Oryctolagus cuniculus: one gene and its partner. The protein of the gene in region 2 binds, or shares a complex with, the protein of the main gene of each other region. Links are inferred from orthologs where the notes say so. Each region holds a gene or a part of one and is shown on either strand. Other genes may lie near its edges.

What was found.
Region 1: the proteins of GLE1 (region 2) and NUP42 are in contact, whole or in part, in a crystal structure (PDB 6B4I), measured with the Homo sapiens proteins. The link is inferred for Oryctolagus cuniculus from reciprocal best matches to the Homo sapiens genes GLE1 and NUP42. Residues at the interface, in NP_001003722.1 of Homo sapiens: Ile385, Ile593, Leu598, Asn599, Trp602, Arg603, Ala606, Gln607, Leu609, Asn610, Gln636, Tyr637, Gln638, Val639, Gln640, Lys643, Met644, Ile646, Leu647, Glu650, Asp651, Tyr652; in NP_001357375.1 of Homo sapiens: Asp185, Asn186, Val187, Leu188, Phe189, Gln202, Phe203, Gln204, Ser205, Lys206, Lys207, Phe208, Leu210, Gly211, Lys212, Ile213, Pro214, Leu215, Lys216, Pro217, Pro218, Leu222, Leu223, Asn224, Val225.

What each region holds. Positions count from the first base shown.
Region 1 is NC_091447.1:15,174,998-15,178,646, reverse strand, and holds the end of NUP42 (nucleoporin NUP42), read right to left. Parts: intron 1,563-3,649; coding exon 1,478-1,562; intron 956-1,477; coding exon 381-955; 3' UTR 115-380; downstream 1-114.
Region 2 is NC_091432.1:231,797,127-231,800,775, reverse strand, and holds part of GLE1 (mRNA export factor GLE1), read right to left. Parts: intron 2,822-3,649; coding exon 2,679-2,821; intron 2,594-2,678; coding exon 2,403-2,593; intron 1,528-2,402; coding exon 1,398-1,527; intron 1-1,397. UniProt on the Homo sapiens protein: Required for the export of mRNAs containing poly(A) tails from the nucleus into the cytoplasm. May be involved in the terminal step of the mRNA transport through the nuclear pore complex (NPC).

The DNA.
Region 1 (3,649 bases), on a different chromosome or scaffold from region 2:
GCCACCAATGTTATCCTACAAGTAAGCTAAACATTTGAGCATCTCCCCTCAATAAATTATCTCCTTCCTAAAAAAAAATTAAAGATAACATTTTAAAGGGTGAGACAAGTGGTATACAATGAGAAAAGTACTTTATTCAGTGCAAATTTTTCAGCTGTATTCATAATTACAGTACAAAAAATTTCCCTTCTTGCTAAGTAGTTTTGTTGTTTTACTTAAATAATTAGCTTTAAGAAAAAAGTGAAAATGCAAAACCTTATATTCCTTATGTGTATGTCTACATATGTACATATATGCATATGTGTGTCTGCTTTTTCATATGAACCGCTCAAAATAATTTCAAAACACATTCTTTTTTGCATTTAAAAGCAAGCATCCTTTTAAATATTTAGAAACTCCAGAGGTGGTGGCTTTAGTGGAATTTTTCCCAGAGTAAATTTCTTGGATTGAAATTGTTCCAGTTCTTCTGCTGTTAGCTGATCCTTGGCTGTAAATAACACGTTATCTTTTGTGACAATGACATTTGATACTGGGAGAGGGGTGGAGATGCTGCCATTTCCAAAGATGTCATTAGATGGCTTAGAGAACGCAGTCTGTGACTGTGAGCTCACATGACCAAAACCAGCCACAGAACCGCCACTGCCACAGGCTGGGGCTGCTGGGGCTCCGGCTGGGCCTGCCGCCAAGGAAGACGGAAATCCTGAAAATCCTGGCGATCCAAAGTTGGAAGCTGCAGGGCTTTTAAATGAAAATGAAGCAGCAGATGTGACTTCAGGTTTCCCAAATCCGAAAGTTGGAGTGGAAGTAGAGATGGCAGAACCGGCAGAGGGGACTGCTCCAAACGTTGGAGGACCCCCAAACACTGACTGGCTTCCAGAAGGGGCAGTGCCAAATCCAGAGTTTAGTTTAAAGCTAAAGACCTGAGCATTATTACTGCTGTTTTTCACTGGAAAACCTGCAAAATACAGGAGGAAAAATCTATTACAGTCAGAAGACAAGGCTATGTTATACTCCCTGCTGTCCTTATTTCTGCCATGTTTTGAGGTTGGGAAGTTAGAACACACTAACCCCACAGCCCTGTCTCTTCTACTATGGGCCTCATTTCCACTCTGGTTTACCCCAACCCCAAGGAAAAGCTAAGGGAACAGGGGGTGGACTTCACCAGCAGCTTGTCACCCCATCTCACAGCTGTAATGACAGTGCCCTGCTGGTACACAGAGCAACAGAAACCTCCCGAAAGTGCTGCCACCATAGTTACATATTCTTGTGAAACTCCTGAAATAATCATTCCCCAATCGTAGGATCCTTTAAACATCATGCCCATTCTGGCCTTGCTCACACAAATGCTTGACAAGCCAGTTCTTCCATGCTGCCTAATGTAAGGTGGGAGAATCTGCATGGGTGATTCGGCTTTATAACTTGAAGCCTTTTAAGTTCGACTTTTCTAAATCAGTGAAGGTCTGCATGTATCACTTACCTGGTGATCCAAAGGTTGTTGTTTGCCCACTGCCAAATCCAAACGTAGGGGCTGCTTGATTCATTCCATCCTTTACATCAGAGAGCTTTAAAAAAAAATGGTATGCAAATAATAAAGTACCTTTCCTCCACACTGTACAGCCAAATTCAGTTTTTAAAATATGTGTTTATAAAAGTGTGAAATTGTGTGCTAAATGTTTAGCCTTGTGGTCAAGTTGCTGGTTAGGATGCCTGAATCCCATGTTGGAATCCTGGGTTCGAAACCCACCCTGGTGCTTATTCTAGTTTCCTGCACCCTGGGAGGCAACAGGTGACGGCTCAAGTAATTGGGCCCCTGTTGCCCATGTAGGAGACCTGGACTGAGTTCCCAGCTCCCAGCTGTAGCCTGACTCAGTCTTGCCCATTGCAGGTAAACAAGCAGATGGGAGCCTGTTGGTCTGTCTCGCTCAAACAAGTGTGCGTGTGTGTGTGTGTGTGTGTGTACCATATATATAAGGTTTAATGTGTTTAATTGTTTAACATGGAAAAAGTGCCCATAATATGATGTTGAAAAGGATAGGATATAATTCAAATACTGGATAAACAATGTAATTATAGCTACTAATAATATAAATATATATAGAAAAATGTACATCAGTAAGTTAATAGTGATGGTCTCTGTTTGATGAATTCTAACTGTTTCTTTTAAAAAAAATTATTTATTTGAAAGGCAGAGTTACATAGAAAGAGGAAGAGACAGACACACATAGAGAAATCTCTTCCATTTGCTGGTTTACTCCCCAATGTGGACTGAGCCAGGTTGAGGCCAGAAACCTGGAACTCCATCCAGGTCTTCCACGTGACGGGCCATCTTCCACTGCTTTTCCAGGCACATTAGCAGGGAACTCTAACCCATGTTCATACGGGATGACGGCACTACAGGAAGCAGCTTAACCCACAATACCACAATGCCAGTCCCTGAGGGAGTTATCTGTGTTTTTTAAAAAATTTCTACCGTGAGCATGTATAATCACAAAGATAGCTTATTCTTATTTACTTCCACATGTGTGGCAAGAAACCTGTTATTTCAGCCATTACTGCTGTCTTACAGAGTCTGTACTGGCAGAAAGTTGGGGCCAAGAGCAAGAGCTGGGAATCAGATGCAGACCTTCCAATGCGGGCAGGCATCTTATCTGCTAGGCTAAACACCTGTACCCATGGGGCATGGGTATATACACGTACATACATACTTTATTTATTCACTTATTTGAAAAGTAGAGCAACGGGGGGTGGGGGGAGGGGGAGGGGGAAGGGGGAAGAGAGACAGAGATCTTTCATTGTTGGTCCCTGCCCCAAAAGGTGGCAATAGCCAGGGGTGGGTCAGGCCAAAGCCAGAAGCTAGAAACTCCATACTGTTCTCCCACACGGATGACAAGAGCCCAAGTAGTTGGGCCATCTTCTGCTGCCTTCCCAGGCGCATTAGCAGGGAGATGGATGGGAAGCAGAGCAGCTGGGTCGCAAACTGGCACTCTGATTTGGTTGCAAGCGGCAGCTTAACCTGCTGCACTACATCATCAGCCCCCAGAAAAATATTCTTGATAGTACACTTTGATATCTATATTATAAGGGAAGATCTGCATTTATTAAGAAATCTAGGGGCTGGTGCTGTGGTACAGTGGGTTAAAGCCCCCGTCTGCAGTGCTGGCATTTCATATGGGCACGGGTTCGTGTCCCAGCTGCTCCACTTCCGATCCGGCTCTCTGCTATGGCCTGGGAAAGCAGTAGAAGATGGCCCAAGTCCTTGGGCCCCTGCACCCATATGGGAGACTTGGAAGAAGCATCCTGGCTCCTGGCTTTGGATCAGCTCAGCTGTGGCCATTGCGGCCATCTGGGGAGTGAACCAGTGGAATGGAAGACCTCTCTCTCTGTCTCTACCTCTCTCTGTAACTCTTATCTTTCAAATAAATAAAATAAATCTTAAAACAAAAAGAAATCTAGACAATAGGAGAAAGAGACCTCTATAGGATATGCAATTTAATGCTTGAATATAATTATCTCATTAAACAGTTACTACTGGGGCCGGCGCTGTGGCATAGTGGGTAAAACCACTGCCTGCAGTGCTGACGTCCCACATAGGCACCGGTTTGAGTCCTGGCTGCTCAATTTCTGATCCAGCTCTCCGGTATGGCCTGAG
Region 2 (3,649 bases):
AGAAACAGTGATCTTCCATCTGCTGGGTCACTCCTCAGATGGCGACAATGGATAAAGCTGGGCAGGGCCACAGCCAAGAGCTTCAGCTGGGTCTCCCAGGTGGGTGGTAGCACCCCAGACGTTTGGCCCATCTTCCGCTGCTTTGCCCAGGCCCTGAGCAGGAAGCTGGATCAGAAGTACAGCAGCCAGGACACAAACTGGCGTCCACAGTGGATGCGTGTCACAGGTGGCAGCTTTACCTGTTACACAATGCCAGCCCCATTTTGTTTTTATTTTTGAAACCACTCTTCTTTTAAAATTTTTAAATATCACTTATTTTAGAGACAGAGATCTCCAATCCACTGGTCACTCCCCCAAACGCTTGCAATAACCGGGGCTGGGCCAGGCTGGAGTCAGGATTTCAATCCAGGTCTCGTGTGGGTGGCTGAGACCTGCAGCCTCCCAGCGTGCGCACCAGCAGGAAGCTGCAATCAGGGGTGGCACGCTGTGGGACCCCGGCACACCAGCAGTATCTTAACAGCTATGTCAAACACCCACCCACACATTTTGGTGTAGGGGATCCCTTTGATACACATGGGTCGGCTTCAGTTTCAGGGATTCCACAGACCGACAGTTTTCCTTGCTGACATTTCATTCATTCTTCATGAGATCTTTGGCACAAAAGCTGAGACGCAGCGGGTGCGCCATCAAGACTTCCTGAGGGACAGATACTGAGATGCTGCTCGGACGCCCACACCCCCTACAAACCTGCCTGGGCTCAAGTCCCAGCGCTGCATCCAATTCCAATTTCCTGCTAATGTGCTCCCTGGTTACCTGCCCAAGCACTTGGAACCCTGCCACCCACAGAGAAGACCCAGATGGAGTTTCAAGTTCCTGGCTTCAGCCTGGCCCAGCCCTAGCTATTGCAGTCATTTGGGGAATGAACCATTCCCTGCCTTGTAGATACCATAAAGAAATTTTGAAAAAAAAAACAAAACAAAACAAAAAAAACATAAAAAACACTTCTACAATCACTCAACTTGTACTTTCCTCTTTAGGTCTTCAAGTCCATTAGCCTGTCCACCCTGCTCATCTCTTCTATTCCTTGAGCAGGGATGGGGCTGGTGGGGCAAAGGCCTGCCCCTGCGGCGTGGCTCACTGTCAGGCCTCCCTCTGCCACCCGAGTGAAACTGTGTGATCCAGGTGATTTCTAGCCTAAGGAGGTCTACGCTGACAATTTCTTGCTCACTCCTCTTCTCCCCGGTGCACTCTGCAGGCGCTCAGGTCTCAGGTGTTGGCATCTGATCCTCCGCCAACACCTAGAGCTGCCTCCCACCCCTTGTCAGTCACCGCACAGGGCAAACACCACACGGGCCTGGTGCGAACATCCCTCGGTGACACCAGCCTTTCCCCCTCACCTCCTGTCGGTTTCCGTACGGCCACCGGAGCTGAATGATGGCGGCATAGAGACGGATCATCCCAGACATGCGTTTGAGGAAGGTGTCCTGCTGTTCCACCTTGGAATCCTTCACCTGGTAGCCAAGCATCCTGTGTGGGAATAAACAATTCAGTGTGACGGTGCACGGCTGAAAGCAACAACAGAGTATCATCACCTTTGCCGCTATGAACATGCTATTACAAAGCACTACTTCTGTAGAAAACTTGGTCTACAATGCACTGCTATCTGTTGTCAGACGTGTGCTCCCTGTAAGCCCGTGAGGAGGCCTCTCGGTAAACGAGGGGGTGCAGGGGGTCCTCACTGCCTTTCATAAAGAGGGAACTGAGGCCCCAGGGGCTGAACGATTAGCCCACTGTTTCCAAGCTGCCAAGTGAAAAGCGAGGTAAATTCAAGACCTCTGGCTTCCAGATCCAGTGTTCTTCCTCTAAACTAACTGGACTTAAATCCAAACCCACAGGCTGTTTCTTTTTTTTTTTTTTTTTTTTTTTTTTTTAATTTTTTGACAGGCAGAGTGGACAGTGAGAGAGAGAGAGAGAGAGAAAGGTCTTCCTTTTGCCATTGGTTCACCCTCCAATGGCCGCCGCGGCCGGCGCGCTGCGGCCGGCGCACCGCGCTGATCCGATGGCAGGAGCCAGGAGCCAGGTGCTTTTCCTGGTCTCCCATGGGGTGCAGGGCCCAAGCACCTGGGCCATCCTCCACTGCACTCCCTGGCCACAGCAGAGGGCTGGCCTGGAAGAGGGGCAACCGGGACAGAATCCGGCGCCCCGACCGGGACTAGAACCCGGGGTGCCGGCGCCGCTAGGCGGAGGATTAGCCTAGTGAGCCGCGGCGCCGGCCCACAGGCTGTTTCTGACAGTGCGCTCTGGGTACGTCAGAGGCACTGGGAGTAGGGGGGAAACACCTTCCAGCTGTTTCTAGTCACGCATCACTGTAGGGCGGGCAAGTCAGGAGGAAGCCACCTCACCTCTGATAGTCCTCCAAAGCCATTCCCTCCTTGAAAGCCGGGTAGAAGGGGACGGAGTAAGGGCACTTCCTGTGTAGATGAGCAAGGATGAGGTCCCCCACCCTGGGGTGGAGCTCCCAGATCCCTGAGGCCACCACCGCGATGGGGAAGGCGGCTTCGTGGTGAGAGGCCACTTCCTCCTCGCCTTGTTTCTGGAACACAGAGATGGATCCGACTTAGAGGCCTGAACGCTGTCTCCCAGCCTTTTCTCCCCTACAAGGAGCAAGGTTTTCTCACCACAAATTTCTCTGCCAGTTTGTACTGGACAAAATCCAGCCCCTGTGGGTTGAGTGTGACGGATACAGAGCGCCCACCAGACTGAACGGGTTTTCCAGAGAGCAGACTGTGAATCTTGTCAAAGATCTCCTTCAGCTTCGAGCCTAGACATGACACAGAAAAGGTCAGTTAACAGCTACACCTGCAGCTCGGGCTTCTTCCCAACACTGTAATAACAAAGCGTCCATGCAGTCCAGCCGTGCAGTCCCAGAGAGGTTCAGAGCCTGAAGACAAAACACGGACACAGAAGAAAGGAGGACAGCAGAACACAGGGTGTGGGGTGCAAAGTCATGGACGGCACTACTCCGGATGAGTGTCTCATGTGGGAACCCAGTCATTCTGAAACTGACACGTGAAGCAAAGACATAAACAGCAGCAAACAGGCATTGAATTCTGCATTGCAGATCTCATAGAGGAGCCAGCTCATGGTTCTTCCAAGGGGCTAACGTCCAACGTCCTCAGAAACTCAGACATGGGTCCCTGTCACTAGCATGCCTCAGAGATCTTGAGTGCCCCACCCCTCTCCACCCAACGATATGAGGTTGCAGGTGGTAAAGCAGCAGGCCTTGTAACTCGTGCTTGCGGGCAGGGGCCTTGCATGTGTCCTGTGGACAAGAGCAGCTGCCCGTTGACAAGAACGGAGACGTACAGAGGAAAGACGAGAGAAAAAGAGAACCAAAGTGGCTAGCCCCATTCCTGCCACTGCCTGCAATAAAAAATTTTTTCCCAAATGTATTGATTTTTAAAATTTATTTAAGAGGCAAAGAGATAAGACTGAGAAATCTTCCACCTGTTGGTTTACTTCCCAAATGCCTACATGGCTGGAACTGAGCCAGGCCAGAGCCAGGAGCAGGAACTCGACCCAAGTCTCCAGCGTGGGTAGCAGGGGCTCATCTACTCGAGCCACTGTGTGCTGCTCCCAGGGTGCACGG